Oryzias latipes: one gene and its partners. The protein of the gene in region 1 purifies or fractionates together with the protein of each later gene. This does not show direct contact. Links are inferred from orthologs where the notes say so. Each region holds a gene or a part of one and is shown on either strand. Other genes may lie near its edges. The genes, in order: ift57, ift46, ift88, ift172, ift74, traf3ip1 and ift20.

The links.
Region 2: the proteins of ift57 (region 1) and ift46 purify together in Homo sapiens (affinity purification with mass spectrometry; 3 studies listed by BioGRID and IntAct, counting the BioPlex papers as one, with this or other methods). This does not show direct contact. The link is inferred for Oryzias latipes from reciprocal best matches to the Homo sapiens genes IFT57 and IFT46.
Region 3: the proteins of ift57 (region 1) and ift88 purify together in Homo sapiens (affinity purification with mass spectrometry; 3 studies listed by BioGRID and IntAct, counting the BioPlex papers as one, with this or other methods). This does not show direct contact. The link is inferred for Oryzias latipes from reciprocal best matches to the Homo sapiens genes IFT57 and IFT88.
Region 4: the proteins of ift57 (region 1) and ift172 purify together in Homo sapiens (affinity purification with mass spectrometry; 3 studies listed by BioGRID and IntAct, counting the BioPlex papers as one, with this or other methods). This does not show direct contact. The link is inferred for Oryzias latipes from reciprocal best matches to the Homo sapiens genes IFT57 and IFT172.
Region 5: the proteins of ift57 (region 1) and ift74 purify together in Homo sapiens (affinity purification with mass spectrometry; 3 studies listed by BioGRID and IntAct, counting the BioPlex papers as one, with this or other methods). This does not show direct contact. The link is inferred for Oryzias latipes from reciprocal best matches to the Homo sapiens genes IFT57 and IFT74.
Region 6: the proteins of ift57 (region 1) and traf3ip1 purify together in Homo sapiens (affinity purification with mass spectrometry; 3 studies listed by BioGRID and IntAct, counting the BioPlex papers as one, with this or other methods). This does not show direct contact. The link is inferred for Oryzias latipes from reciprocal best matches to the Homo sapiens genes IFT57 and TRAF3IP1.
Region 7: the proteins of ift57 (region 1) and ift20 purify together in Homo sapiens (affinity purification with mass spectrometry; 3 studies listed by BioGRID and IntAct, counting the BioPlex papers as one, with this or other methods). This does not show direct contact. The link is inferred for Oryzias latipes from reciprocal best matches to the Homo sapiens genes IFT57 and IFT20.

What each region holds. Positions count from the first base shown.
Region 1 is NC_019875.2:10,101,821-10,105,964, forward strand, and holds the start of ift57 (intraflagellar transport protein 57 homolog), read right to left. Parts: upstream 2,801-4,144; 5' UTR 2,424-2,800; coding exon 2,290-2,423; intron 1,877-2,289; coding exon 1,702-1,876; intron 1,590-1,701; coding exon 1,471-1,589; intron 777-1,470; coding exon 686-776; intron 558-685; coding exon 489-557; intron 1-488. UniProt on the Homo sapiens protein: Required for the formation of cilia. Plays an indirect role in sonic hedgehog signaling, cilia being required for all activity of the hedgehog pathway.
Region 2 is NC_019876.2:246,288-249,154, forward strand, and holds the end of ift46 (intraflagellar transport protein 46 homolog), read right to left. Parts: intron 1,043-2,867; coding exon 689-1,042; 3' UTR 501-688; downstream 1-500. UniProt on the Homo sapiens protein: Forms part of a complex involved in intraflagellar transport (IFT), the bi-directional movement of particles required for the assembly, maintenance and functioning of primary cilia. May play a role in chondrocyte maturation and skeletogenesis.
Region 3 is NC_019879.2:11,385,552-11,389,051, reverse strand, and holds part of ift88 (intraflagellar transport protein 88 homolog), read left to right. Parts: intron 1-2,257; coding exon 2,258-2,344; intron 2,345-2,433; coding exon 2,434-2,620; intron 2,621-3,500. UniProt on the Homo sapiens protein: Positively regulates primary cilium biogenesis. Also involved in autophagy since it is required for trafficking of ATG16L and the expansion of the autophagic compartment.
Region 4 is NC_019882.2:1,041,181-1,045,159, reverse strand, and holds the start of ift172 (intraflagellar transport protein 172 homolog), read left to right. Parts: upstream 1-1,179; 5' UTR 1,180-1,274; coding exon 1,275-1,313; intron 1,314-1,546; coding exon 1,547-1,690; intron 1,691-2,988; coding exon 2,989-3,101; intron 3,102-3,175; coding exon 3,176-3,215; intron 3,216-3,587; coding exon 3,588-3,653; intron 3,654-3,798; coding exon 3,799-3,878; intron 3,879-3,944; coding exon 3,945-3,979. UniProt on the Homo sapiens protein: Required for the maintenance and formation of cilia. Plays an indirect role in hedgehog (Hh) signaling, cilia being required for all activity of the hedgehog pathway.
Region 5 is NC_019878.2:5,915,709-5,919,208, reverse strand, and holds part of ift74 (intraflagellar transport protein 74 homolog), read right to left. Parts: intron 2,466-3,500; exon of another isoform or gene 2,181-2,465; intron 2,055-2,180; coding exon of another isoform or gene 1,933-2,054; exon of another isoform or gene 1,532-1,932; intron 1,486-1,531; coding exon 1,347-1,485; intron 1-1,346. Other genes in the region: leucine-rich repeat-containing protein 19, read left to right, coding at 1,933-2,054. UniProt on the Homo sapiens protein: Component of the intraflagellar transport (IFT) complex B: together with IFT81, forms a tubulin-binding module that specifically mediates transport of tubulin within the cilium. Binds beta-tubulin via its basic region. Required for ciliogenesis.
Region 6 is NC_019879.2:26,415,032-26,418,531, reverse strand, and holds part of traf3ip1 (TRAF3-interacting protein 1), read left to right. Parts: intron 1-262; coding exon 263-350; intron 351-519; coding exon 520-600; intron 601-1,009; coding exon 1,010-1,145; intron 1,146-1,225; coding exon 1,226-1,262; intron 1,263-1,353; coding exon 1,354-1,430; intron 1,431-3,500.
Region 7 is NC_019871.2:17,867,075-17,871,327, forward strand, and holds the start of ift20 (intraflagellar transport protein 20 homolog), read left to right. Parts: upstream 1-1,453; 5' UTR 1,454-1,586; intron 1,587-2,523; exon of another isoform or gene 2,524-2,637; intron 2,638-3,550; 5' UTR 3,551-3,558; coding exon 3,559-3,685; intron 3,686-3,753; coding exon 3,754-3,839; intron 3,840-4,253. UniProt on the Homo sapiens protein: Part of intraflagellar transport (IFT) particles involved in ciliary process assembly. May play a role in the trafficking of ciliary membrane proteins from the Golgi complex to the cilium.

The DNA of each region.
Region 1 (4,144 bases):
ACCAAAGGACGTCAGAGTGGTAGGACCGAATCGATCAAAGTCATCATTTCTATGGCAACCACTCTCGCCAATCAGGAGTGAGCTTGTGGAAGTCCACACCCCTAGCACTTTAAAGCCGGCTCGGGAGAATCTGTCAAACGTTTTGAACGTTCAATGTCAGGACACATGCTTTTATTGAGGCACCTGATTGGTCGGTTTATAACTTGAATAAATTGAATCATAGAAGAAATATCAGAGGGAAAAAATTTGGATTATGAAGAACATATTAAAAAGGTATCAGAGCAATAATGGTCATCCTGACACATAGAATGACTGAGTAAGAGTTGTTTATTTATCGATGGAAGTCTTTGGCTTCTTGGAGCCAGCGGGTCCTTCCTATTAGGAACGCGAGGGGGGGGGGGGGGGGGGGCGGAGTCACTCAGTCCAGCTCTCATCTACAGTCAATGGGAGTGCTCTCTCTTGTCTGTATAAAGACAAGTTTTTCTCACATTGTGGAAGTTCCGCAACTTCAGAGACTCCAGATCCATCGCAATTTCCTCCTCATCCTCATCTTCCTCCTGAAGTCACAATTAGAAAACAATCTTTTAAAAAATCAAATACAAGAATGAAAAACAAAAAGGACACCAGTTTTTGCAAAAGCGGCGTTGAAATAAGCTGTCAGCATTTTTCTCTGTGAAGTGCTGACCAATATTTCCTCCTCTGCTGTGCTGAGTGTGACTTCTGCATCGTCCTCCAGCATCGACTCTTCCTCCGGGGTTTCTGACGGGTAATCTGGCCTAAAGGGGAGGAGGGAGAAGAACACTTCATCTCAAACTGGAGCAGCCAGTGAGGCCTCGCTGTTGTCAAATCTGTAAAGTCCCACCACAGTGATCTATCTGATGTACTGTAAAAGTGTCCCCCAGTGTTTTTTTAATTATGATGGTGCAGATTTTAGCCAAAATTAAAAAAAAAAAAGTGTCCTTTACTAGGATATCGTTTCTGCAGAGCAGCAACAGTTCATTAGAAATACACCTTTAAGTTGTGGGGGGGACTATTGGGGCAGAGAAAGCCTGTCCTCATTTCCCATCATCCCTTTGTTTTACACTCTCTTCCACTAGCTTACAGTCCCTCACATCCCCAACCTAACATCACCGGTACAACAAAATATGGGGAGCCATATTGCAGCTTCAGGAAGGTCATTTTATGCTTTACTTTCTTCATATAGGTCTTCTATAATGAGAAAAATGCCACAAAACATTAAAAACACCACAAACACAATTTTAATCGGAGATCTTTAAGGTGTGGCGGCCTGAACTTAACCAAACTGACTTCTGACCACAACCGGTATTGTTGGGACCCAAGAAGAAAGACACTCCAACCTTGCAGCTGTAAAACTGCTTCATTCATTCCAGTCTTGAACTGGCTCCAGTACCAGCCTAGAACCCGTGTCTGGCCCAAAAGATGTCCCAGCGTAAAGCAGAGCAGAAGCACCTTTTGAAGGAGAAGTTTCTCCTCTTCAAAGCCTCGTCGGCCAGTCGGTCCAACACCAAGCAGACGTGCTCGCCTGAGCCCGTCTTCAATTTGGAGGGAGGGAAGTCCACCTTTACGCCCTGAAACCCACCAGGGTCACAGTCAGAGGTCGTCCTCACACATCTGAGATCAGAGTCTAAGTCACACAGAAAGGGACATATTGGATCATCTGCATGTGAAACAGCAGCTCACAAAGGCTCTCAGCTCCGCCAGGATGTTGGACACGGTGGCGTTGGGCTCGTCGTGCTCCCGGGGTTCGGTGAACGGCCTCCCTGCCACGTTGATGAGCCAGGCAGCGATGATGGTGAACATGTAAAACTGCTCACCCGGATTGGAGGACAGGTGGGAGTTGGAGACAAAGTAGTGCCTGGGAAGAGAAGGAAGAAGATACATGAATCACAAGATCAGATCATGTTTGAAATGAAACACATTTAGGAAGACAACTTCAATAATAAGCAGTCTGGAAAGATGTATTACACTTTAGGCATTTATTTGTAGACTTACTGCTATTTTCTTAAGTGTATTTAAAATTGATTTAAAATTGTATAAAAATAAAGATTTAGTGCTCGGGAAAAGTACAAAATGTGATCAAAGCTGTTTTCAACTTTTGTCTTTGTTTTTTTCATTTAACACAATCGACGGTCCAGCTCAGGTTCTGTTCTATTAGCTCTGTTCCGGCAGATATCATCACTGCTTCTTATCGTGTTCTGCTTCAAAACGTCGTCTTCAGGGAGCTGAAATTCAGCTTAAACCCGTCATTTGGCTCGTTTCGTTCCTGACCTGCACACTTTCTTCATGTTGTGTTTGTCCAGAAGCTCCTCGTAGTTCAGAGCGTCGAGCTTTTCTAACAGTCCCTCCATCACCGACACCATCCGGTGAGCGGCTCCCGGGCCCCGCTCATCCTCCTCTGCCATGAGCCCAGCTACTTTTCAAACCGCTTTAAAATCCACTAAAAAAATAAATGTTTTCTGGGGCCTTGTTTGTTCGATTAGCACACGCTGCTCTGCTAGCTCAGGTTGACTGTAGGCCCGTTGCCTAGCAACCGAAAGCTAAGTAGCCCTTTTCTTAACACGTATTTCTTTTTCCTCCCTTTAAACTTTAAATATGCGCATTGAGAATTTGCTCAACAGCAACAAAACAACATTCAAACTGTCTGGAAAACAGAATGGGTGTGACCAAGTTCGAGGGCTCCGTCCTTAGCATAAGAAACTTGGTAGATTTGTTTGCTAACTTGAGTTTGATCTCTTCTTCTGCTAGAATATAGAGTCAAACATCGCCCCCTAGAGGGCGGGAGAGGGACCTGAATATTGGGACTGGGATTTTGTTCTTAAAATGAAAATATCCTTTTTGCATTTACTGAGGCATTTGTACACAAATACACCATGCAAGAAATTCTACTGTTATTTTGATTGTACTATCTTAATCTCAGATTAAAAAAGAAGGTAATTTATGTCCAACAGTGCATGGAGCCATCTAAAAGGCTTAAAGTTAAAGTGCATCATCTTTCTGTTATTCTAAAGTGAAAGGAGCAAAATGAAAATACAAATGTTTAACAACCTGCTGATAGTGGGGAAAAAAAATTCCAAAAAAACCCGTTAAAACTACTTCATTTTTTTTAGGTATGTAGAAGGAACTTAAAATGTAAGGTATTTTGAAACTGAAGGGTCAGCTGTAAATTTACAAGGACATTGGAATTAAGATATTTTCAGATTAAATTGATTTTTTCTTTAATGTTTTATGATGCTGCTCAGGCATTATTATTAAATACGTTTTTTGGGTTTTTTTTTTGCCAACAGGGTGTCTGTGTTTTTCTTTCCTTATAATTTTGACCAATACTGTCATAATTTTGGGTACATATTTTTTGGACAAACTTTTTTATTTTCACATTTATTTTGAAGATTTCTTTTAGAAAAAGGTTGACGGGGTGCATAATCATTACAGTATAACACCCATCATTGTGCTTGTTTCTTTTTTAATACACTTATTGACAAAAAGAAAAAAGGTACGAAAGCAAAATTAAATGGAATTCTTTTTTTTAAAGGAAGCAAAATCTCTACATATAGATAAAAGATAATAAACAGATAATGTCACCTTTAAACTTTGATTAAATTCCTTTACAATTAAATGCATATGGTTTTTTTTTTTTTGGGGGGGGGGGGGGGGGTGTTTCGTTTTTGCACAGAACCTCATAATCTAATTAAATTCCAAAACAATTCCCCAAAAAAGTTTTTCCTATAATGGATTGTGGGTGTTTGTCAGTTTGCCAATAAGTTTGTAAGGAGTTCAAACCTTTAACTTCGGTGTTTTTAAGTAGAAACACATTTGTTCATCATACAGCGTTTAACTTGCAGAACTTTATTGACACAGTAAGATGAGTAACACTTGTCACGGAGAGCGTCTCTGCGTCAGGCTGAAGAGGCCCGACGTCCTTTCAGTGAGACGTTTCTCAAATGGAAAAGTCTCTTCATGTCTTTCCTCCTTTTAAAAACATCTTCTGCATCTGGAGACAAAATGTAGGAAATAATCCTCTGAAGAGGTACAAACAGTAATAGCTTTAGTGTTCACGCGTGACAGAACACGCGAGCGAACGCAGGAGTGGAGGAGGCGTCCTGCCGCTGCTCCCACTTCCATCTGC
Region 2 (2,867 bases), on another chromosome or scaffold:
CCACCCTACCGCTGCACCACGGCCGCCCAAGATCACAAATCATTGAAGAAAAAAGGTTCAGAGCACTGTCTAGTGGGTCTAGATGACCCAACTCCCAATGGTAAAGTGCCCAGGATAGAACAAGGGTTACATATATAACTTATCCAACTTAAATTAATTCAACTTGCACCTACCCAACTAACCTTCAACTAAGCCTGCTCCGGATGTGTTATGTTCAGAGCATGAGTTGCTATGGCAACTTGACATACCCTGAAACATACCTCCATTTCTGGAACCGAAAACTGAAGTTATCAACTTCCTTAGCCTCAAATTTACCGTGGGAGCTAGCATAACCTGCTTTCTGGAATAACCCCCTGCTCTGCAGAAACTATGTCCTAGAAAACGACAGGCTGAAAACGTCATCATCACTTAAAGACCACAAGGAATGCTGGGAAAACAGACCAGAAGAGGATCAGAGTGGGATTTGAACGGACAAACCAGAACAATCAGAGTCTGAGGACGACAGTTAAGCATTCAGTTTATTCAGGAGCAGAAGCAGCAGAAGATCAGAACTAAGACCAGGTTCTGGAAAAACTGGGCTCCTGTCAGAACCCGGTAACAGGTACCAGAGCTCACAGGTGGGGCTTTCCTGGAGACCCCCTCCATGGGTAGTGAGGGAGGAGGACATGGATGGGGTGGCCCCGCCCCCTCACCCCCTGCTGGTGAAGTGCAGAGAGTCCCTGAACTCCAGGTAGAGGCTGAACAGCAGGTGCAGGGACTGGATCCTGCCGCTGTACACGGGGATGTCCAGCAGGCCGCACGCCACGTCCACGTACTCCCCCAGGCTGCAGGACAGGTGGGCGGGGGGCGGCTGCAGGCGGCCCAGCTGCTCCTCCATCTCGGGGGGCCACTCCTGCATCAGGCTGTCGATGTCGGGCATTGGGTGGCTGTAGTGCACGCTGGCGGGGGGCTTGGAGCGGTGCAGGGCGCTGATGCTGTCCACCCAGCTGTCCACGGCCCGCGGGTTGGTGTGGGGGCTGGACACGCTCGCCACCTTCTGCATCTGAGGGGGAGGGGTCAGAGGTCAGGACCAGAACAGACCGGGTCACCCTCCAGAACACGACTCAAGACAACTCACAGTCGTGTGTGTGTCTACAGGTGTGTGTCTGCATGTGTGTGTCTACAGGTGTGTGTTTGCAGGTGTGTGTGTGTGTGTCTACAGGTGTGTGTTTGCAGGTGTGTGTGTGTGTGTCTACAGGTGTGGGTCTGCAGGTGTGTGTCTACAGGTGTGTGTGTGTCTACTGATGTGTGTCTGCATGTGTGTGTCTACAGGTGTGGGTCTGCAGGTGTGGGTCTACAGGTGTGGGTCTGCAGGTGTGTGTCTACAGGTGTGGGTCTGCAGGTGTGTGTCTACAGGTGTGGGTCTGCAGGTGTGGGTCTGCAGGTGTGTGTCTGCAGGAGTGTGTCTGCAGGTGTGTGTGTGTGTCTGCAGGAGTGTGTCTGCAGGTGTGTGTCTACAGGTGTGTGTCTGCAGGTGTGTGTGTGTGTCTGCAGGAGTGTGTCTGCAGGTGTGGGTCTGCAGGTGTGTGTCTGCAGGAGTGTGTCTGCAGGTGTGTGTGTGTGTCTGCAGGAGTGTGTCTGCAGGTGTGTGTCTACAGGTGTGTGTGTGTCTACTGATGTGTGTCTGCATGTGTGTGTCTACAGGTGTGGGTCTGCAGGTGTGGGTCTACAGGTGTGGGTCTGCAGGTGTGTGTCTACAGGTGTGGGTCTGCAGGTGTGTGTCTGCAGGTGTGTGTCTGCATGTGTGTGTCTGCAGGTGTGTGTGTGTCTGCAGGTGTGTGTCTGCATGTGTGTGTCTGCATGTGTGTGTCTGCAGGAGTGTGTCTGCAGGTGTGTGTGTGTCTACAGGTGTGTGTGTGTCTACTGGTGTGTGTCTGCAGGTGTGTGTGTGTCTACAGGTGTGTGTGTGTCTACTGGTGTGTGTCTGCAGGTGTGTGTGTGTGTCTACAGGTGTGTGTGTGTCTGCAGGTGTGTGTCTGCATGTGTGTGTCTGCATGTGTGTGTCTACAGGTGTGTGTCTACAGATGTGTGTGTCTACAGGTGTGTGTGTCTACAGGTGTGTCTTCAGGTGTGTGTGTCTACAGGTGTGTGTGTGTCTACAGGTGTGTGTCTGCATGTGTGTGTCTACAGGTGTGTGTCTACAGGTGTGTGTCTACAGGTGTGTGTGTCTACAGGTGTGTGTCTACAGGTGTGTGTGTGTCTACAGGTGTGTGTCTACAGGTGTGTGTCAACAGGTGTGTGTGTCTACAGGTGTGTGTGTGTCTACAGGTGTGTGTCTACAGGTGTGTGTGTGTCTACAGGTGTGTGTCTACAAGTGTGTGTCTGCATGTGTTTGTCTACAGGTGTGTGTCTGCAGGTGTGTGTCTGCAGGTGTGTGTCTACAGGTGTGTGTGTGTCTACACGTGTGTGTGTCTACAGGTGTGTGTGTCTACAGGTGTGTGTGTGTCTACAGGTGTGTGTCTGCAGGTGTGTGTCTACAGGTGTGTGTGTGTCTACACAGGTGTGTGTGTGTCTACAGGTGTGTGTGTCTGCAGGTGTGTGTCTGCAGGTTTGTGTCTACAGGTGTGTGTGTGTCTACACAGGTGTGTGTGTGTCTACACAGGTGTGTGTGTGTCTACATGTGTGTGTCTGCAGGTGTGTGTCTGCAGGTGTGTGTCTACAGGTGTGTGTATGTCTGCAGGTGTGCGTCTGCAGGTGTGTGTGTCTACAGGTGTGTGTGTGTCTACAGGTGTGTCTTCAGGTGTGTGTGTGTCTACAGGTGTGTGTGTGTCTACAGGTGTGTGTCTGCATGTGTGTGTCTACAGGTGTGTGTCTACAGGTGTGTGTGT
Region 3 (3,500 bases), on another chromosome or scaffold:
GACCGGAGTAGATCGCACTGTGTTCGTTATTTTAACCCTTTTTGATCTTTTTTTCTACTTTACAGTTTGCTCTATGAATTTATTGATATGTTTGTGATTATACTAAACAGAAATTTCACAATAAACCTGGTACTGTCCAAAACCTCAATGCCAAATGGTAAATTAGTGCATATTTTGCTGGAAAAAAAATCAAAAAAAAAAATCAAACAGTTTTTATCTTTAAAAACAAAAAATCAAACATGTAAAGGCAAAATAAAAATGTATAAATCCACAAGGAATGCAAAGAAAAGGTCAAAACAATGTGAAAAATCTATCAAATAAATGGCAAAATCCCACTGAACTACAGTACATACAACTTTCAATGATAAATTCCTAGTATCACATTTATGTGTCGTAACTCTTGTTATGCTTGTTGCAATACAAAAATTCCAAAGCTTCAATCTTTTTAAAACCTTAATGTTGAATTTTGAATTTCATTCTGAGTTTCCTTGCTGTGTTATTGTAAACAGTTGATGCGGTTGGCAAATTCACTAGTGAGTTGAGGGTCGGCTGAGGGTTGAGACAGTTGTTCTCTTTTTTCTTCTTCAAGTACTGTCATTTGATACAACCACAATTCATTTGTTTAATTTTTCATCACAAAACTGTTGATCAAAGCTCCTGAGTTTACATTTTCTCCTCCATGTCAGCTTCAAGTCTTTGTTTTGTTTTTTTCATTTCTTTCCCAACTGGATGAAAAAGAATGAGGGATGTCTGCCTTCTGCATTAATCATCTCCTTTAAGCTGTTGGGATTTATCACCTAGACAAGATGTAGTTTATTTATTTATTTATTTATATTTATATATTTATTTACAAAAGCTAAAGGATTTCTGCACACCATCCAGACTTCCAAAAAAAAAATGTATCTTTTCAATGATGGGCAGGGTTGCTCTACACCAAGGTCCTGCCCACAAATGTCTAATAAACTGCTGCTGCTCTACAAAAACTATGTTCCAGAATAGAGCACCATTTTATTTTTATTTTGGCTAAATAACCCCCAAATTAAAAGATCACTGGAAACGTTTTAAAATAGCTCAAACGATGATTGAAGTGGATCTTTAATGGTTCAGAATGAAATAGAGTCGTTGAAATTATCCGTTTAGTTTATTGTTTGCTGTTTTTGGCAATAATATTTACATAGATGCTCTGGTACTATCATAGATCATAACAGTGAGCAGAAAAATATGTGTCTTATATTACTTTTTGATAAAAAAAAGAAATGTAAAATTATTTTTACATTATAGGAAATATCCAACCATCCTGCAATGAAATATTGAATACCTGCTAAAGGGTAAAGGCCTGTTTTATGCAAAAATCCCTTTCGGGGTCACGGGGGTTGCCTGTCCCGGCTTCTGTTGGGCGAAGACGGGGTACAAACTGAACAGGTCGATAGTCTGGAGCAGGGCATGCAAGCACTCCCGTACACAATCACACATGTACACCTAGGGACACTTTAGCACTACCAATTAACCTGCATTGTGGGAGGAAGCCAGAGTGACAGAGTGCAGAAAACCCATAAATAAAGGCTTGAATAGGAATTCACAAGTAACTCATCAGTTTTTCCTTGATCCAAATCTTTTAGTAAAATGAGCAAACCTGGTTTTGAATGAGAAAAATGATCAAATAGAAGTTTAGTTGACTAATGACTCAGTGGGTTTGAATGGATTTGATTGAACCGTTTGGCTTATGGGCCTCAAAGGGTTCTAAAATTTGACACAAGGGCCAGAAGGCATGGAGTGATTTGGTCATCCACCTCATAGGAGAAAGAAAAAACATGGAGTTTGGATGAAAACATGCTTCAATTTTCAATTTTAAGGTTGTGAACATTTCAACTGTTGCTCTTTAAGAACCAAAAACATGTCTCCATTGTAGACTTTGTTTTTGAAGTGGATAAAATTGTTAGAAATGGAATTTCTGTTTTGAAAGAAATATCTTAAAAAATCTATTTTGACAGTAGGAACGTAATAAAATCTTATTTTTAATTTTTTTTTAAATGAAGTGTTTGTTAAATTTTTGCAAGTAAACTATAGAAGAGTTTTCTCTTCATATGCTGATGTGTTTAGAAGCTTTCATTCTTTTGGTGTTCTAGTTGTAGAAGATCTATCTAAAAGGGAAAATGCTCATACTTGGTTTATATTGTTAATCAAATTCATCTGGATGAGAAAAAAAGAAAAAAAACCCTGTTTCTGATCAACTGGTTGTTGTATGTTGTGTAATCAGGCAGTGGAAACACTGAAGACTTTTGAGAAAAAGGACAGCAGAGTGAAGAGCGTTGCAGCTACAAATCTCTCCTTCATCTATTTCCTGGTAAAAGTCTTTTTAAATATCAAAAGTGTTTTTTTATGTGGGGATCTAATCGTTTTCTCTGTTTCTGTAACCTGTTTGACCCCTTCCAGGAGAAAGATTACGACCAAGCTGATCGATACGCAGATCTTGCTATGAACGCTAACCGCTACAACCCTGCTGCTCTCGTCAATAAGGGAAATACAGTGTTTGTCAAGCAGGATTATGAAAAGGCTGCAGAGTTCTTCAAAGAAGCTCTGAAGAATGATTCCTCCTGCACTGAAGGCCTTTACAACCTGGGTAATACTGGAGCTCTTCATGGAGAACTAAAACAGTGACAATTCACTTCATTTCAATAATAACTAAGTGGACTTGTGTTGAAACAGTTTACAGCCTTTATTACCAAAAGACATAATGATGAGTACGGAAATATGGCACAGCAGTTTCTGTTTGTCATACATTGTTTGTGATACATATTTTTGATCACCCAGATTAGAGAAAGACTCCTGTCAGCCTAAACGTCTTTTCTTAACGCCTTAGTCGGGTAGATACAGGCTGTCTGCGAATGAAAAATGGCCAAACCTGTCCAGGACATGCAGGTGGCTCGCAGGAAGTTTTTCAGTCAGCCTGTACAGAGAAAACTTTCATGCACATTTTTTTTGCAACGGGCATGCTGCAGAGTGTCAGGTAGTAGAACATTTAAACAAAATGTAAGGGTAATATAGGTTGGACGCAAGCCTGATGTCCAGATCTTTAATTTTTTCAAGCTCACTAAAACCTGTGCACTGCACAAAGAGCCCATTAGTGCTGTTCATGTGATAAGTGTGCGCTCCTTCTGAGCAGTCTGTGTGTTAGGAATAAGGAAAGTAGACAATCAGAGCTTAGTGTGTGAGGACATCCTAAAGGGCATCTTAATGGCACTTATGTTTCTACTACATGGCTCTTGCAAGCTGGATTTTCACGCTCAGTAATGAGCCAGTTTGCATACCTTACTATTGACTAGAGTGTGATATAAGTGCACCACCGTACGACAGCATCATTCATATGTCATTAGTGTGGGCAACTGACATTGTCCTTAAGAGTACTTCACAATACACTTACCACACACACAGCAATGGTACATTCTACTTCCATGACGTCCCTTGTGACCCTGCACAGGCCTAGACAACCCAAAAACCCA
Region 4 (3,979 bases), on another chromosome or scaffold:
TTACGAGATTTAAAGTCGTAAATTTAAGACTTTCCCCCCAAGTCATCGTAAATTTTCTACTCTTTTCTCAAGATTTAACGTCGTAAATGTACAAGATTAAAGTCGGAGTGAGTCTACAGTCCATCGAGTGAAGGCCGCGCAGCCGCAGAGCAGACCGACCAAACAGTTCGGTAAAGTCAGAAAGATCTTCACAGATTCGGACTTCCGGCCTCAATAACTCTTCTGATAAACGTTCAAATGTGACAGCAAGTATCTCAATCCCTTTGTATTAACCCAGAGAGTGAACTACAAACGCATTTCAAAAGAAAGAAGATGTTTTTTGCCTTTTGATAAGAATTGTTCTCTTCGAGGTGTGAATGCAGACATGCAGCGAGCTGGCTGCCAAGGGACCGTCAACAAGTTTTTTATGTCTTAGAGTGCCTGATGTCAACAGATTTCTCTGTCTTTGTTAGTACAGCCCATCAGAAATTATGAACCCAATGCACCACTGCTGTACCTTTCAATTTGGGTTTGGGTTACGTTTTTCTCATAAATGTAGGACTTTAATTTACAGTTTGTGAACTGGCACAAATATGTCCTAGTTAAGAAACAGAAACAGGAATTTTACTTGGCAAATGGACAGTCATAAACACATAGGAGTTTAAATGGTACAGAAGGCATCACGGTTAAGGCGTGTATAGTGTACACCTGTCAGGTCATTGCGCACATGTGTCCATTTAAAATCTATATTTCTCTTAATCATGTCCGTGGAAGGGGATGTAGCTCAGTGGTAGAGCGCATGCTTTGCATGTATGAGGCCCCGGGTTCAATCCCCGGCATCTCCATGGATCGTTTTTTCTTTAACACGGTAAATCCATGTTGCTCTCGTACTTGTTGCACTTTTGAACTCCGCGATAGATCATACTTTTTTATTTTACTCGCGGATTACCATATCACCGTTTTTTTCTTGGCACTTTTAGCTCTTGTTCCTCGTTTTAGCATTAAACACGGGTGCAACAGTATCGTGCAACCGTTTGACATTCTTAAGATTTCATGTTGCGTTAAATTACGACTTCTTTTGCTTTTGGTATAAATAAATAATAAAAACTGACCATTATGAAAAAAAGGAAATCCCATTTCCAGGTAGTCTGCTGGGAGATGTTTATTTTTTCCAACGGACCCAAATGCACCAGGATTCCCCGCCCCCCCCCAACGGTAACCAAGGAGACGGGCGTCATGCTCCCTCGATGCTAACGGATTGAAAAGGTTTCTTCAAGCGTCATTTAGACACAAAAATGATTTTGAAGCACATTAAGACGCTTTTACCACCGCAGGTGAGTTTTCGGCAGTCTTTATGGTCGCTTTGGTGAGCTGGGTTGCTGTAAGGACTCATATTTCGACGTTTGGGTTGTTGTAAATTAGACTCGAGAAATGTTGAGTCCTCGCGCTGGTTTAGCTCTCTGAAGTCTCGGTTAAGCGTTTTTAAACGTCTGAACTGATGAGACGAGCTTCGCCCGGTCCCTCAGTCTGTCGGAGCAGCCCTAGTTGTTTTTTGTGCATCTCGCAGGAAAAGGTGGCGAAGCTGCCGTGCTTGGCGTGGGCTCCGAACAACAACAAGGTGGCCGTGTGCACCCCCGACAGGGTGGTGCTGCTGTACGACGAGCAGGGGGAGAGGAGGGACAAGTTCTCCACCAAACCGGTGGACCCCAAGGTGAGACACGTCCCGCCGGCGTGGGAAACCCCCCCGAAAAAACGGTTAATCTGTGAGGTCATTCATGACGTCACTGTCTGTACTGTTAGGGTTCACAGAGAGACTAGTGTGTTGCTCCTTTATCTACAGTTTATTTGAATCGATCTTTATTTATACAGCAGTTAACAACAATATGGAGTTCATTCGTCTCAATATTCAGAAATGCACACACGTTTCATCTGATTCACACACGTTTCACACATGCGCAATAGGTGTTTCTCACGAATGTGCACGCTGTTTCACAAAAACACAATAAATGTTTCAGAATCACAATAGGTTGTGAATCAAAGCGTGTGTGTTTGTAAAACAGTTTGTGTGCAGTTCTAATTATTGAGGCTGAATTAATTCCATAACACCTTCGGCGTTGTTGTGACTTTATATGATGTTGCTCCGAGTTACCTTTTCAGTAAAAATGGGCTAGAAGGAAAACAAAAAATGTAGCAAATTAAGATAAAATATTTAAAAACAACACTTCAAAACTACACCAGGCAGTTAAATAGACAAGACAAAATAATTTTAAAAAATTAATAAAACAATTAGAAAAAATATATAACTCAGAATTAAAGACCCACTCCGAGGAAAATTTAATTTTTAGTTCTTTTTTTTTGTTCACGTGGCATTTTTTTGAAGATGGACAACATTTATACCTAATCTAGGCTCATAACTGTATTTCTGACTATTTCTTTATTTCACTTTTTGTGAGTCAGCATCAGATGAAAAAATGTATTCTAAAAAAGATTGTATTTGTGATGTAGAGGCAACAATGGGCGGGGCCTCAAGCTCCCTGCTCCGCCCCATTCTGATTTATTCACTGTCAGACAAATAGATCCATGAACGTCTTTGTTTTCCTGGTCTGATCTGGAATCTGGATCAGAACTGCACGGATGGGTCTGAGGCGCTGTAAGCTAGCAGGGCAGACTGTAAACGGGTAGATGATGGGAAGTGGGGGCAGAGTTGCTCCATGCCAGCAGTCAGAGGTGAATTTCTGATGAACTCCTGCTGCTCTGCAGGTTTGTAGATTTTGGCTAAAAACAGCATCATCATAATTAAAAGAGCACTGGGAGCGCCGTGAGCATGGACCAGACTGGAGGGGGCCGGTCTGAAAACAGCTGAATGTAACCTCCTCACCATCATTCCTGCATGTTTATGAAGCCCCTCTAACTGGGGGGCTTTCCTGGTCTTTCTGCCGGCCCTGATAATAACCTGCTGGTGTAGTTTGCGTTCCTGCAGTGAACTTTTCAAATGTCCCGTTTTGTCAGTATGGGAAGGACAGCTACGCCGTCACAGCCATGGCGTTCTCCCCAGACTCCACCAAAATCGCCATCGGCCAGTCCGACAACATCATCTTCGTCTACAAGATCGGGGAGGATTGGTACGAGCCGCGGTGTCCGCCCTGCTGTCGTTTGCTGCTCGTCTGGTGGTGACGGCTGTCTGTGTCTTTCACAGGGGAGACAAGAAGACCATCTGCAACAAGTTTGTTCAAACGGTAAGAAGAGACGCTGAAACCAGAACCCAATCGTCTTCAAGCTGCACTTCTGATCCACTTTGCAGAACTTTAGTGAGGAAGAGTGCATCACTTTAGTCTGGCAGAGGCTGTAAGGGTCCAAGCTGATCAGAACCACAGAGTTTTGGTTTCTCTGGTTAAATTGCAGGTGATCGAATCTGGTCCAGGATGGTAGTGTTGCATTAGTGGGTGGTGTCACATGGGGGAGGGGTTGACCACTGCATGCTGGGAAAACTGCTTTGGGTGGTTCTTTTAGCAGGACACAGAGCAGGCGAGTGCAGCAGCGGCGAGGACCGTTCCGTGCAGCCATGGTGAGTCTCCTCCCTGAAGTCTCTGTCCCGCCTTTATTCGCAGACCTTCGTGACCTGCCTGCTTTGGCCCGAGGAGCACAGCATCGTTTACGGGCTGGCTGACGGGCGGGTAGGTCGCCACAACATCCTTAACAAACCATCCTCATGTGGAAGACACACATTTATTTACTACGATGAAGAAGCTTTGAAGTGATGGCGTGAAGTTTCAGTTTAGGAAATAAAACATTTCCAGAGTAAAACGCTCTTTTCCTCAGGTGCGTCTTGCTGACACCCTCACCAACAAATCCTCCACCATCTACAACACGGAGTCCTTCGTGGTCTCTCTGACCTCCAGGTAAGCGCCGCGCTCACGCTCGTGGCCCCCGGGGGCTTCAGCTCGGTCATCTCCGCTGTGTATCAGTGTCTCCGGTAGCGGCGTCCTGTCGGGGCATCACG
Region 5 (3,500 bases), on another chromosome or scaffold:
GAAAGATAAACTTTTTTACGTAGATGTAACTTAATTATTTAGTTTGGTGAAAATAAATATTTTTAATAGTTCATTTAACTTAAAAATAACACGATCAACTTAATTAAATTAAGTTGGTGTAACTTTGGCGTGAAGCTATCAAGTCATGACGTCATAACGAAAGGCAGTGCGAGCAATTGTGGGATACCATTTTTTTTGCCTGTCTGGGCAGATTGGGGTTTAAGTGTGAGTTTTTGTCCATGGGTTTTGTTGTCTAGCTGTTTTACGCTGTTTGAACTAGTAATTTAAACTGTTATGTTTATTTATTTCTATACCATGAGTTAGAGTTTGGTAGAGGATGATGACCAACCCCCTTGTGCGGTAAAACACTGTATGTCCCAATATTAAAGACAGATATCTTTACACATGATTTCCTGCCTTGTAATGCGAGACATCGCTGGGGCATGCTTGTCTTTGATATGAAAATTACAAGGACCATTGGTTGAAACTTAAGAAAAATCTGTCAATTTTAATTGTATAAACAAAATTTAATTTTTTTTAAATTTAAGTTAGATCAATTTATCAAATTGAATTGGATAGCCATAAAAATTAAGTTGAATAAACTTAATTCAATTACGTGTTACCAATTGAAATGATTCATTTAAGTTTAACTTAAATGAACTTAAATGTCTATCCAACTCAATGTAATAACATTGAGTTGGATAGACATAAAAACTTAAGTTGAATAAACTTAATTCAATTAGGTGTTACCAATTGAAGTCTTCTTCCACTTTCAGCTTCTCCCATCAGGGGTCGCCACAGCGAACAAGTCGCATGGTAAATTTGGCAATGTTTTACGCCGGATGCCCTTCCTGACGCAACCTTCTCAAACCGGGCTTGGAACCGGCAGAGGTAGAGAAGGGAACAGGGAGCAGCCCGGAGTCGAACCCGGGTTTCACGGATGGAAGGCGCCGCAAACCAGCACGAGCTAAACTGGCTCTGGTGTTACCAATTGAAGTAATTCAATTAAATTGGATCAACTTTTTTCTTTTTAGAGTGCATTTCAGCGGCTGTCACAAAAGAGATCTTTTTCGAAAGGCACTTCTTGTGTGCTCTTGATTCACAACTATTTGAATGAAGAAATACTCTAAATAATCTTAAATTCTGTTCTATGTATCATCCATAATAAGAAAAATGCCACAAGAACTTGTTAAAAAACGCAATTTTCTGTGGAAGCCATAGGGTGAAATTTCCACACAAAGGCAGAAGAAAAATGAAGTCCAAATGTGGATTTGTGCCATTCCTCTATATGTGCACATGAGACAGATGCAGGCCACACCCCTTTGTCATCAAAATGACAGTTGTACCTGCAGCAGCTGCTCATTGGTCGCCGCCATACTGAAGTACTTCTCTTGTTTGGCAGTGGGCATTGACTGAACGACTCTGTCTGCGATCTGTCGCTCCTTCTTGATCTCCTCCTCAATGGCCTTGATCTGCTCCTCTCTCCTACAGCGGTGGAGAACAGTGCTTTTGAGCTACATGTAAAGAAGCAGGCGGATATGAAACATTCAAATTCGAAACATGGATGAGAGAATGATAGGATTTAATTTTTTCATCAAAGTGTTCAGATAAGGCAGGTTTTATAACTTCTTGCTTGTATACTGACACAGAACACATTTCATGTATTTCATGTCGCAAGCAGCCCTATCAGAGTACGTGTAGCACTGCCATAAAGTGCAAAGGTATACTTTCTACTTCTTGTTCCTCGTGGACATTTCCTCCTTCTCACCTCTTCAGTCTTTTACAGCTTTTCCGGCATTTGGTTTGTCTGAAACTCAGGGATCCTTATATAAATAAACACAATGACTCCTTTTAATATATTTAAGTTTTTTTTAAACTAAAAGCTCAACAGCTAAATAAGCTGAATAAGAAGGAAAGTGAGGAACGGCGTTGATGGATCATAAATGGTTAGCTAGCAGGAGCAGTCGGTGGAATCTTATACAAGGAACAAAGGTCACTGCTGTGCTGGCTGCTTTTGAGCAACAGGTGAAAGGGGTTCACCTCAGAGAGTGGAGGTAAGTGTCTTCTTTTATTCTCATTTTAGAGAAGATCCAGCTCCTTTTTTCTTTTTAGCAGAATAAACCGGTTGACTGTGTGGATGTTCTGGAGTAGCTCAGTTGATGATTTTGAAATAAACTGAAGCCTTCTGATAAATTTATATTTCAACATCTTTGGCAAAAGCAAATTGATTTACCTTTAGTGTCTGTGACTGCCTGTGACAGCTCAAGATCTATCAGCACACACACATTTGTTGACTTTTGATAATTTTAAAGGTCAGCTGACTGGATGTGTGTGTCTGGGAGATCAAAATCTCTGAATGTACTCAACCCTGCATGGGAGCGTCTGCATGTGCTTTAAGATGCTCCCCTGAAAGGAAAAGGTTCATCCACAAGGCTGCCAGAGAACCTTGCCCCTCAGCAGGACAGGTGGGGACTCTGCAATATGGACTGTGTTGGAACAGTTTGCCCTCCATAGGAGGCTTTTCTCAGCTGACATGGTGCTCACCGGAGCGAAATGACTCTATAATTCAGTGCTTCTCAATTATTTTTTGCAAGGCCCCCTCTAGGAAAAAGAAAATGTTTGCTCCCCAACACACACACTTGCCGCGGTGACAATATATTAGGTTAGTATCTACAGTGATGAAAGCCGGGCAAGGAAAAAATCCCTGAACTTTTCTTTGAGCGATATGGCGGGCGCGGAGCGAAATTTTTGTAAAATACATGGTCTTAGATGCATTCTGGTACATTCTGGCAGCTAGTTATTCACTTCTTAATCAAGAAGCTAAGACTAATTGGAGCATCATGATTTGTCATTCAAACCCCCAGTTTGACTTGCCATTAAGGACTTGGAACTGGCTAACTAATGAGCTAAAACTGTCATGTGCAGGGGTGGCTCGAGAGCCGGTAGGACCCAAGCTCAGAGACGGGAGGCAAACGGGGTCAAGGGCAAGGGGTTTAATTAGAACAAAAAGCGCTGCAGAGCAGGATGACAAAGCAAAACTCACTGTGGCGTGGCATGAAACATGGCATGAACAGGACGAAGACACATGAAGACGTTAAACACACGACCAGAAGTTAATGGACCAGCACAGGAGGAAGGTAGAGACAGAACTTATATACAGACAGGGCAGACAAGACACAGGTGAACACAATCAGGGCAGATGGGGACCAAAGGAAGTAAAACTCACGACACAAGACAAGACAGGAAACCTTTCAAAATAAAACAGGAAACAGAACTTAACCATGACAGAACAAGACAGAAAGCAAAAACCAATACAAAAGAAACTCAAACCATGACAGTACCCCCCCCTCAAGGAACCGCTCCGAGGTTCCCAAAGTCAACTGAGGGGGGGGCCCCGGAGGTCAAACCTCGACGGGCATAAGAGTCCAAGGAGTCAGGAGGACGGCCGGGGTTCCGCGCCGTCCGGCGAGGCAGGTCCGGAGGACGGCCGGAGTTCCGCG
Region 6 (3,500 bases), on another chromosome or scaffold:
AACCACTGCAGAACCTTGGAATGCGCTTTACGTATCCACTCCTTTGTTGAAAAGCTGTATCTAGATTTTACTCCTTTAATGTAAGTTCAATCTCTGCAGGTTTACAAAGAAGAGATTTGGGTATATCTGAAGTTTCTATCATTTATAGAGAGTCTAGGACTTTGCAGTACATTAAGTGATCCTAAAGTCCCTTTTGCTAACACAGGATCTGTGGAGATCTAGCATTATAATCTGACTAACGCTCCACATGTTCTACTGACAGATGAAGATCCACGTTTTGCCCAAAGTTCACATCCTCAGGAAAATGGGAACACTGTGGGATCCTCCATGTCATCTGACATCAACAACAGGTCTGTTCACTTCATACATTACACTTTGACCTGCCATCACTCAAGGGACACATGTAAACATCTCACAACCCAAACTTTGATTTGTTTGAAAGAAACTCCCAGAGTACATATTTGCTTATTTTCTGTTTTATTTTTCCCTTTGTAATTATGTATTTTTATGGTAAATCAGTAGGCTGATGGCCCGACCGGGCAGTGCACGGTTTCGTGTCAGGAGACAAGAGAGTCATGCTGACGCCCCCCCATCAGAGAGGTAAACCTGACGTCACTCGTGGCATCCAGTACTCACGGTTTTCACGTTTATTCTTAAATGGCGTATACTTATATAGCGCATTTCAAGGCCCAAAGCGCTTTACAGTCACATTCACTCAGACACACACATTCACACACACACATTCACACACTGGTGGCGGCTCTGCTGCCGAACACTGGCGCCAACCTCCCACCAGAGTCAAGGTGGGGTTCAGTGTCTCTCATGGGCGTGCAAGGCGGGAATCGAACCTGCAATTTCATTATGGGTCGACCGCCCCACCGCTGCACCACGGCCGCCCGATTCTTAGTGTTTGTCCTACTGAAAAGTAATCAACCAAATAAATTAGAAGCAGGTTCAGAAAACACTGTCTAAAATGCGCTTGTAAATAAGCGAAGCTCCTGTTTTGAAGGCTGTCAAGTGCCAAGCCCAGAGCACCTGTCATCATGGACGGGAAGAAGATGTCAGACGATGAGGAGGAGGATGACGAGCAATTCCTCGTGGAGGAGGCACCCCCTCCACCCCTCAGCGTTCCTGAGAGCGATCGAGTAGGTGCCTCACATGTCAGTTTGAACATAGGGAGACTGTTTGGATTCTTATTTCTTTATTTTTTATTTCCCGTTCACAGGAACCCGCTCGAGAACTGGACAGTGAGGAGGAGCACGGTACACCGTCAGACGTTTCTGCTTCTCCTTTCAAAGCACAGCGTGCCACGTTTACCTCAGAAATTGAATGTTTCTGTTTCTGTCTCCCCAGGGGGCCTGGTGAAAAAAATCCTTGAGGTCAAGAAGAACCACGAACTGCCCCATTCCTCCCTCAGATCTAAAGAACAGGTTTGTGGACGGTGTAGTCTTTCTGTCTCCACTAGAGGGCAGTACGGGTTCTAGTTCTTTAAGTTTTGTCATTTGTTTGAGCTTTTCTCTCTGTGAACTTTGCTTCCAATGAACCAGTAGCGGTTTTAGGCACGGGCCATACGGGCGATCGCCCGGGGCGGAAAAATGACGGAGGGGCGGCGCCAGCGGCTCAGCTCTTGTAAAATACTTTATGCATCACTATTGGTTTACTTATATCACAGAGTTTGTAACAGCCTGAAACCTGGCGGCGCCCCCGCCCCGCAGCTGCGCTCCCTGCTGTCTTTGAGAAGTAGACGCAAATGTGTGTGAGAAGGAGAAGGGAGGGGGCGCGGGGTGAAGAAGGAGAAGGGAGGGGGCGCGGGGTGAAGGGTGCAGGCTGAGGTGAGCACGGAGCACAAAACGCATGCGCAAACCTGGCTGGATCTTCTTCCAGGGGGGCAACGGTCGCGGGCCGCGGCTCAGTGCTTCATGAAAAAATAAAAATAAAAATTGCGCCGCCATGTAGCGAATTGGCGCCCCTGGGTGCAGCTGCACGCGCTCCTGCTGGAAATGTTTGACGAACGGGAGGGGGGGGGGCTGCGGGTATAAAAAAAGTATAAAAAAATCATGCTTTTTTGGTTATTTCAAATAAAAAATGGGGAAACAAAAAAAAAATTCTTCACTTAGATGACAGTTGGTTTAGTCGACAGACTTGATACCTATGTCAGGACATTTAGGCTAAATGCAAAAACATCTGAAATATGGAGAAAAAAGGTCAAAGCTGGTGCCCAATTTAGAAAGAAAAGAGAAGAAGAGGAGAAAAGAGACAAAGAAAAGGGTATTATCGCATAGCTAGATGCACGTTTTCTAAATTCGAATGCTACCTGCCCTACAACAACAACAACGTTGCAGAGGAAAAATCTCTTGTTTGGTCTATCATGACCAAAACTGAAGTAGGCCCAAATATTGCAAATAACGTCATTTTTAAGATATTTATTCTTAAATGTTTGCTCTGCCTTAACTTGTAACATTAGTTATGATTCGTGTGTCTGTCTGCTCTGCTGTAACACAAAGTTTTTGTTGTGTTTTATTGTTGTATATTAGTTCATAATGTTAAATAAGCTGTGATGGTAGCATGCTGCTGCTGCTGCTGCTGCTGCTGCTGCTGTTAGCTTTTCAAAACTCCAGTTGATCAAGTCATACCTGAGATCACCAATGTCTCAGGAGCAACTCACTAACCTGCTGTTGTTAGTATCAATCATTCAGGGGGGGGAGCAGATTTCATTTGATGACGTTATTGACAAGCTTGCATCAGGAAGGCCACAAAGGTTAGGTTTTAGTTAGTGTTTTCTGTTCTTAGTGCTGCAGTTACATTTATTCTAGTGTATTATTAGTGTGATTTGTAGTTTATAATATTTATTTCAGATTGTTTGTGTTTATTAAATATTTCCTAACTGTATTTTCAGTTACAATAAATGGACAAAGTGACTCTATGGGGGGGGGGCGCTAGAGGAGGGCCTCGCCCGGGGAGTAATTCAGGGTAGAACCGCCACTGCAATGAACCCTTTCCAACCAAGTGCAACATTGGCATTTACTTAAAAAAAAAATGAAAAAAAAGGTAAACAAACAGAGTAAAGAGGTGTAATTGCAGTTCCCTGAAACCTCAGAAATGTTCTCCTCCAGTGAAGCTGAATTGCTTATAACCAGACAGGTTAGCATGGCCCCTAACAAACCACACACAATTGATACACACATCTAGATGTCTGGAGCAAAAGGAGCTTGTTTCCTTGGGTTGCTCAACTTTGAGGTATGCCTATTTATTTTCTTCATTTATATTCTCGTTAGAGACTTTCCTGTTTTGTGAAAAAGTATTTGACATCTTGGGAACAAAGTTTCTTTGTATTCATCCTTTTTTCTCTGTGAGGACTATACAGGAAAGGACATTTTTTCCCCTCTGTTACAAATATTTTTTCAGGACTACAGTTCCTGCTGGTTTCGCGAAAATTTCCAGGAGGAAATATATAGAATTGTAACTTGGACCCATTATAAGAGAAGAACCACACAGGAAAT
Region 7 (4,253 bases), on another chromosome or scaffold:
CAGGCAACTGAGCCATCCCTCCTATACAGAGACGGAGAGCTATATCTGGGTGGAGGTTTAGTGAAGGTAGTGGAAGTCCATGTGGGTGATTATGTACCTGGAGGAGTTTAGAGGCTGGGTACTTCAGCTTTTAGGCAACAGTGCCAATAAAGTCCAGGTAAGAACAAACCAGGTAAATCGTCCACCAATCCACACCATGAGATAATCCAGTGCAGAGCAGTAATAACAATAAAAACAAAAAATCTAACAGTGAGCAGCAGCTACAAGACATATCAGGATGAAAGCTTCCTGATCTATCTGAGAAGCCTCCAACTACATTGACATGAACCTGAGCCAGCTTCACAATCCGCCTCAGCTGAGCATGTTTGTAGCTATTAACAACTCCAGCAGCACTCAGTAGTTCTCCGATTCCCCCCCCCCCCCCCCAGCCATAAAACTCCTCCATGTTTTCCATGAAAGGCCTAATTAACAAATGCATAATTTTTTTTTCTATCTCCTGCAGTGGAAGTCTCAGAGAAGAACTAGGGGATGAACAGATACAGGATGAAAGGTTTTGACGGAAAGGTGTAATATCTGAGTAATGCTGCAAAAAGGGGACTTTTGGGACAGTGTTCTTTAATAAAGCGTTTAAATGATACTGATAGTTGTTGATCTGATTTTCTAGTTTTTTCCTGCTTAAGAAAGTTTTTTATGCAGGAAAACATACTCTGAATGGGATATATTTTTTCTTTAGTGTTTGTATTAGTTTTAAATTTAACACAGCCCATAAACACCTTGATAAAAATCTACGATTTTAAGGTATGTACTACTGATGAAAGCATGTGTGCATCCTCTTTGTATGTTACACTTGTATTGATTTTGTGTCATATCTTGCATGTGACAAATTTGCAATTGGTCAAGAAGGGGAAAAGAGAGATGTCAGTTGTGCATTTTTTCCAAAAAAAAACATAAAACAGTATTCCATGCTTTCATTACATCCCCGTTGGATCACTGTAACAATGTATCTCAGGCAGATGGGCTCCCCTCTGGCGCCTCCAGCTGGTCTAGATAGCTGCTGCTCATTTCCACTTGAAGTTTCAGTGAAGCCACATCATCCATGTCTGTACATTTTAAAGTGTTCTTATGAGTGAACGAAAATGTCTTTTAAAAAATGTCTTATCATCTCAATTCATAAAGAACTAGTTGGTTCTTTGAGCTTATCTCTTCATCCAGTCATGACGTTTGAACTTGCGAAAGGAACCAGACTTGTCTAAACTTCTACCGCTGGGTGGGTCTACCTACTGGGGTGTTTAGCCTAACCTGGTTTAACTATGAGGATGAACCTGATGATTGCACGCGCACATGGTGGCTTTAAAACTGACTGTAAATTGATTCTTGTTTTTAAATGAACGATAATATCAGAAACACGTGAAAAAGACTTCTCGAGAATGTGTACCACCAGAGGTCGGCGGTAAGCTAGTGCGCACGCGTAGTGGCGCTTTGTGCGGTTGCCTTGGTAGCAGGAGGAGGAAGAGGCGGAACGTCTTAGTAGGACCCCTTATGAGGAGGACCGGAGCCGTGCAGAGTAACGTCAGGGGTTTATTAAGGTGAGTGTCCGTTTCCACAACCAAAGTTTAGTTTACTATTCTTTACGAATGGTTAACGGAGGCTAACAGCTGTTAATTTGTCATCTCCTACGTATTAGCTCGTTAGCTGTTAGCCGCAAAAAATCGAAGAGGGGAAAAAAAGATGGTTGAGAGGTTCATACAACGTGTACAAACACTTCTGCCAAAGTCTGAGACTGTGGAGCTCCAAGTTTAGAGGCATTTTTTGAGGTCGCCGGGACAGAAAAACTCAACGTTCTTGTTTACTCAGATCTAGTCTGAGTTTGTTGCTTATTTATTCATTTATTTTTGACGTATTTTCTTACTGTAGTGTAGAAAATCGATGCTTGTGACGTCACCCATAGATTTTTTTTTAAAGAAAACTTTATTATCTAAAATACACAAACAATGTGTGCAGATTAGTCACCAAAACAATTCTTGTGGCATGGATTACAGCTTTGAACGGCGCGATAATCATTTAACGTGGTTAAAAACATGAAGGGGGGTTGTTTAGGTGTAAATGTAGAAATTAAAATAAATAATCTTCATTCATTGAATTGGTGCTAAATGGACTAAGATTCACAATAAAGATGAAAACAATTTGTACAGTAACACTACCCCCCCCCCCCCCCCCCGAAACCAGGAAGTACCCAACACTGCAGTGCTATGAAAGACCGCTGGAGGCAGCATTTCACTAATTTTAATGTTTAAAAGTCTAGCCCAGCTCAAAAACTAAACAATGTATATTTTGTTTCTGACGCTTTTTGGATGTAGAGAGGGTATAACAGAGCCACACAATTACGCAAACTGCCACAAACACTTCATTATTATTGTTATTATTATTATTAATCAGATTAATCCATCCTGAACTCATCTGTTCAGGGGGGATGGAGGTTGGACTGCACCAAGGATCAGCTTTAATCCTTTTTGTTTGCTGTAGTGCTAGACAGACTGACAGAAGGACTGACAGGAATCTCTGTGGAGCGTGATGTCTGCAGATGACCTGTGGATCTGTAGTGAGCGCAGGGAGCAGAAGGAGGAACACTTTAGAGAGGTAAAGGTTTGTTCAGGAAAGGAGAGGAATGAAGGTTAGCTCCAGAAAGACTGAATGTGTAAATGAGAGGAACTAAAGAGGAACGGTGAGGTTACAGGGAGCAGAGGAGAAGAAGGTGGAGGACTTTAAATACATAGCTCAGAGGTGAAGAGGCGTGTGGAAGCAAATTGGAATGGGTGTAATTTGTGTGTTATTTTTATTTGCTAAAACGTTATTTTTGTAAAAGCTTTTAAGCGCAATTTTAGAGTTTTGAATTTAAATAAACATCTGTTTATGCGGTTTCGGAATGTTGGACAGACATCTTCATTCCTCCATTTGTTTCTGAAAACTTTTAACACTGACTGAAGGTCTGTTCATAAGCTTCCAAGTACATAATACTATGGTAAATTATATTATTTTGTCCTACTGGACTGGACTAAAGTAATGCAGTTGCGGAATTTATCTGTTGTGTTAAAGAAATAGACAAGCCAAAATGCAAAGCTTTCAAATTACTTCTCAATCTTTGTCCTGTAAGGCAGTAATTGTATCTTTCTAAACTCCTGCTGGTTGTTAACAGTCCATAACTGGACTTGTGGCTGACGCTAGACATCACTGGACTGTATCAGCATGTTTGGTAACTCTGGTACGGTCAGTAAAGTATTATGGTGAATGGAAGAAACGGTAAGCATCAGTCCCAAGTCCTTCAGTGTCCGTTACATCCAAAAGGATAAAGTCAAATCTAGCCTACATACATTCATCCATATGTGAAACAACTCTTTATAATAATTTTTTCATTTTAAAAGATGTTTTTTTTCTTTTTAGACTTTATAAAGAGTGTTTATCATTGTGGATCAAACTCCTGCGTCTGTCAGGTGGTTAAACTGGTGCTGAGTGTTTGAGGAGTTTTGGAAATAACACAATATTTGACCCACAGGAGACTCCATGGCTAAAGATCCGTTGGCTGAAGCTGGCTTCCACTTTGACGAGGTAAACAAGCTGCGGGTTCTAGAGCCAGATGTGAGCCAGAGCACGGCGGAGCTGAAGGAGGAGTGCAGAGAGTTTGTGGACAGTAAGAATCCACGGATCTGTTGTCCACCCCGTCCCACCCAAAGCTCCTATAGGTCTGTGTCTCTGCAGAGATCGGACAATTCCAGAAGATTGTGGGCGGTCTCATCAGCACAGTGGACGGGTTGGCCAAGGAGGCGGAGACTGAAAAGATGAAGGTGAGGCTCCCCTCTTCTCAGGTTAGGTCAAAACCTACAGTTCATCAGTGTTGGCAGTTATAGTTACCCAGTACTTAATCCTATAAGTAATAGATTTAACCAGTTGAATTATTCTATAATAAAAGTAACCAATTTTAGCAGGAAAAAACTATTTACTTCACATTAAAGAAAAACTGTTTTTTGTAGATTTTTTGGACCAGTTTTAACAATTCAATTGGAATGAGTAAAATAGACCCAAACTTTTATTTAACATTATTTACATTGGAGGAACTCCAACACCTTCTGGTAAGCTGCCCAGTTTCCTCCTGACAGACATGTTGTGGTGGAAAAGCTGCTGGAGCTGCGTTTGATTTACTGTTTTTAGTTTATGTCAAACATTCAGTAACCCGATCAAACAAAAACTGCTCCTCATTG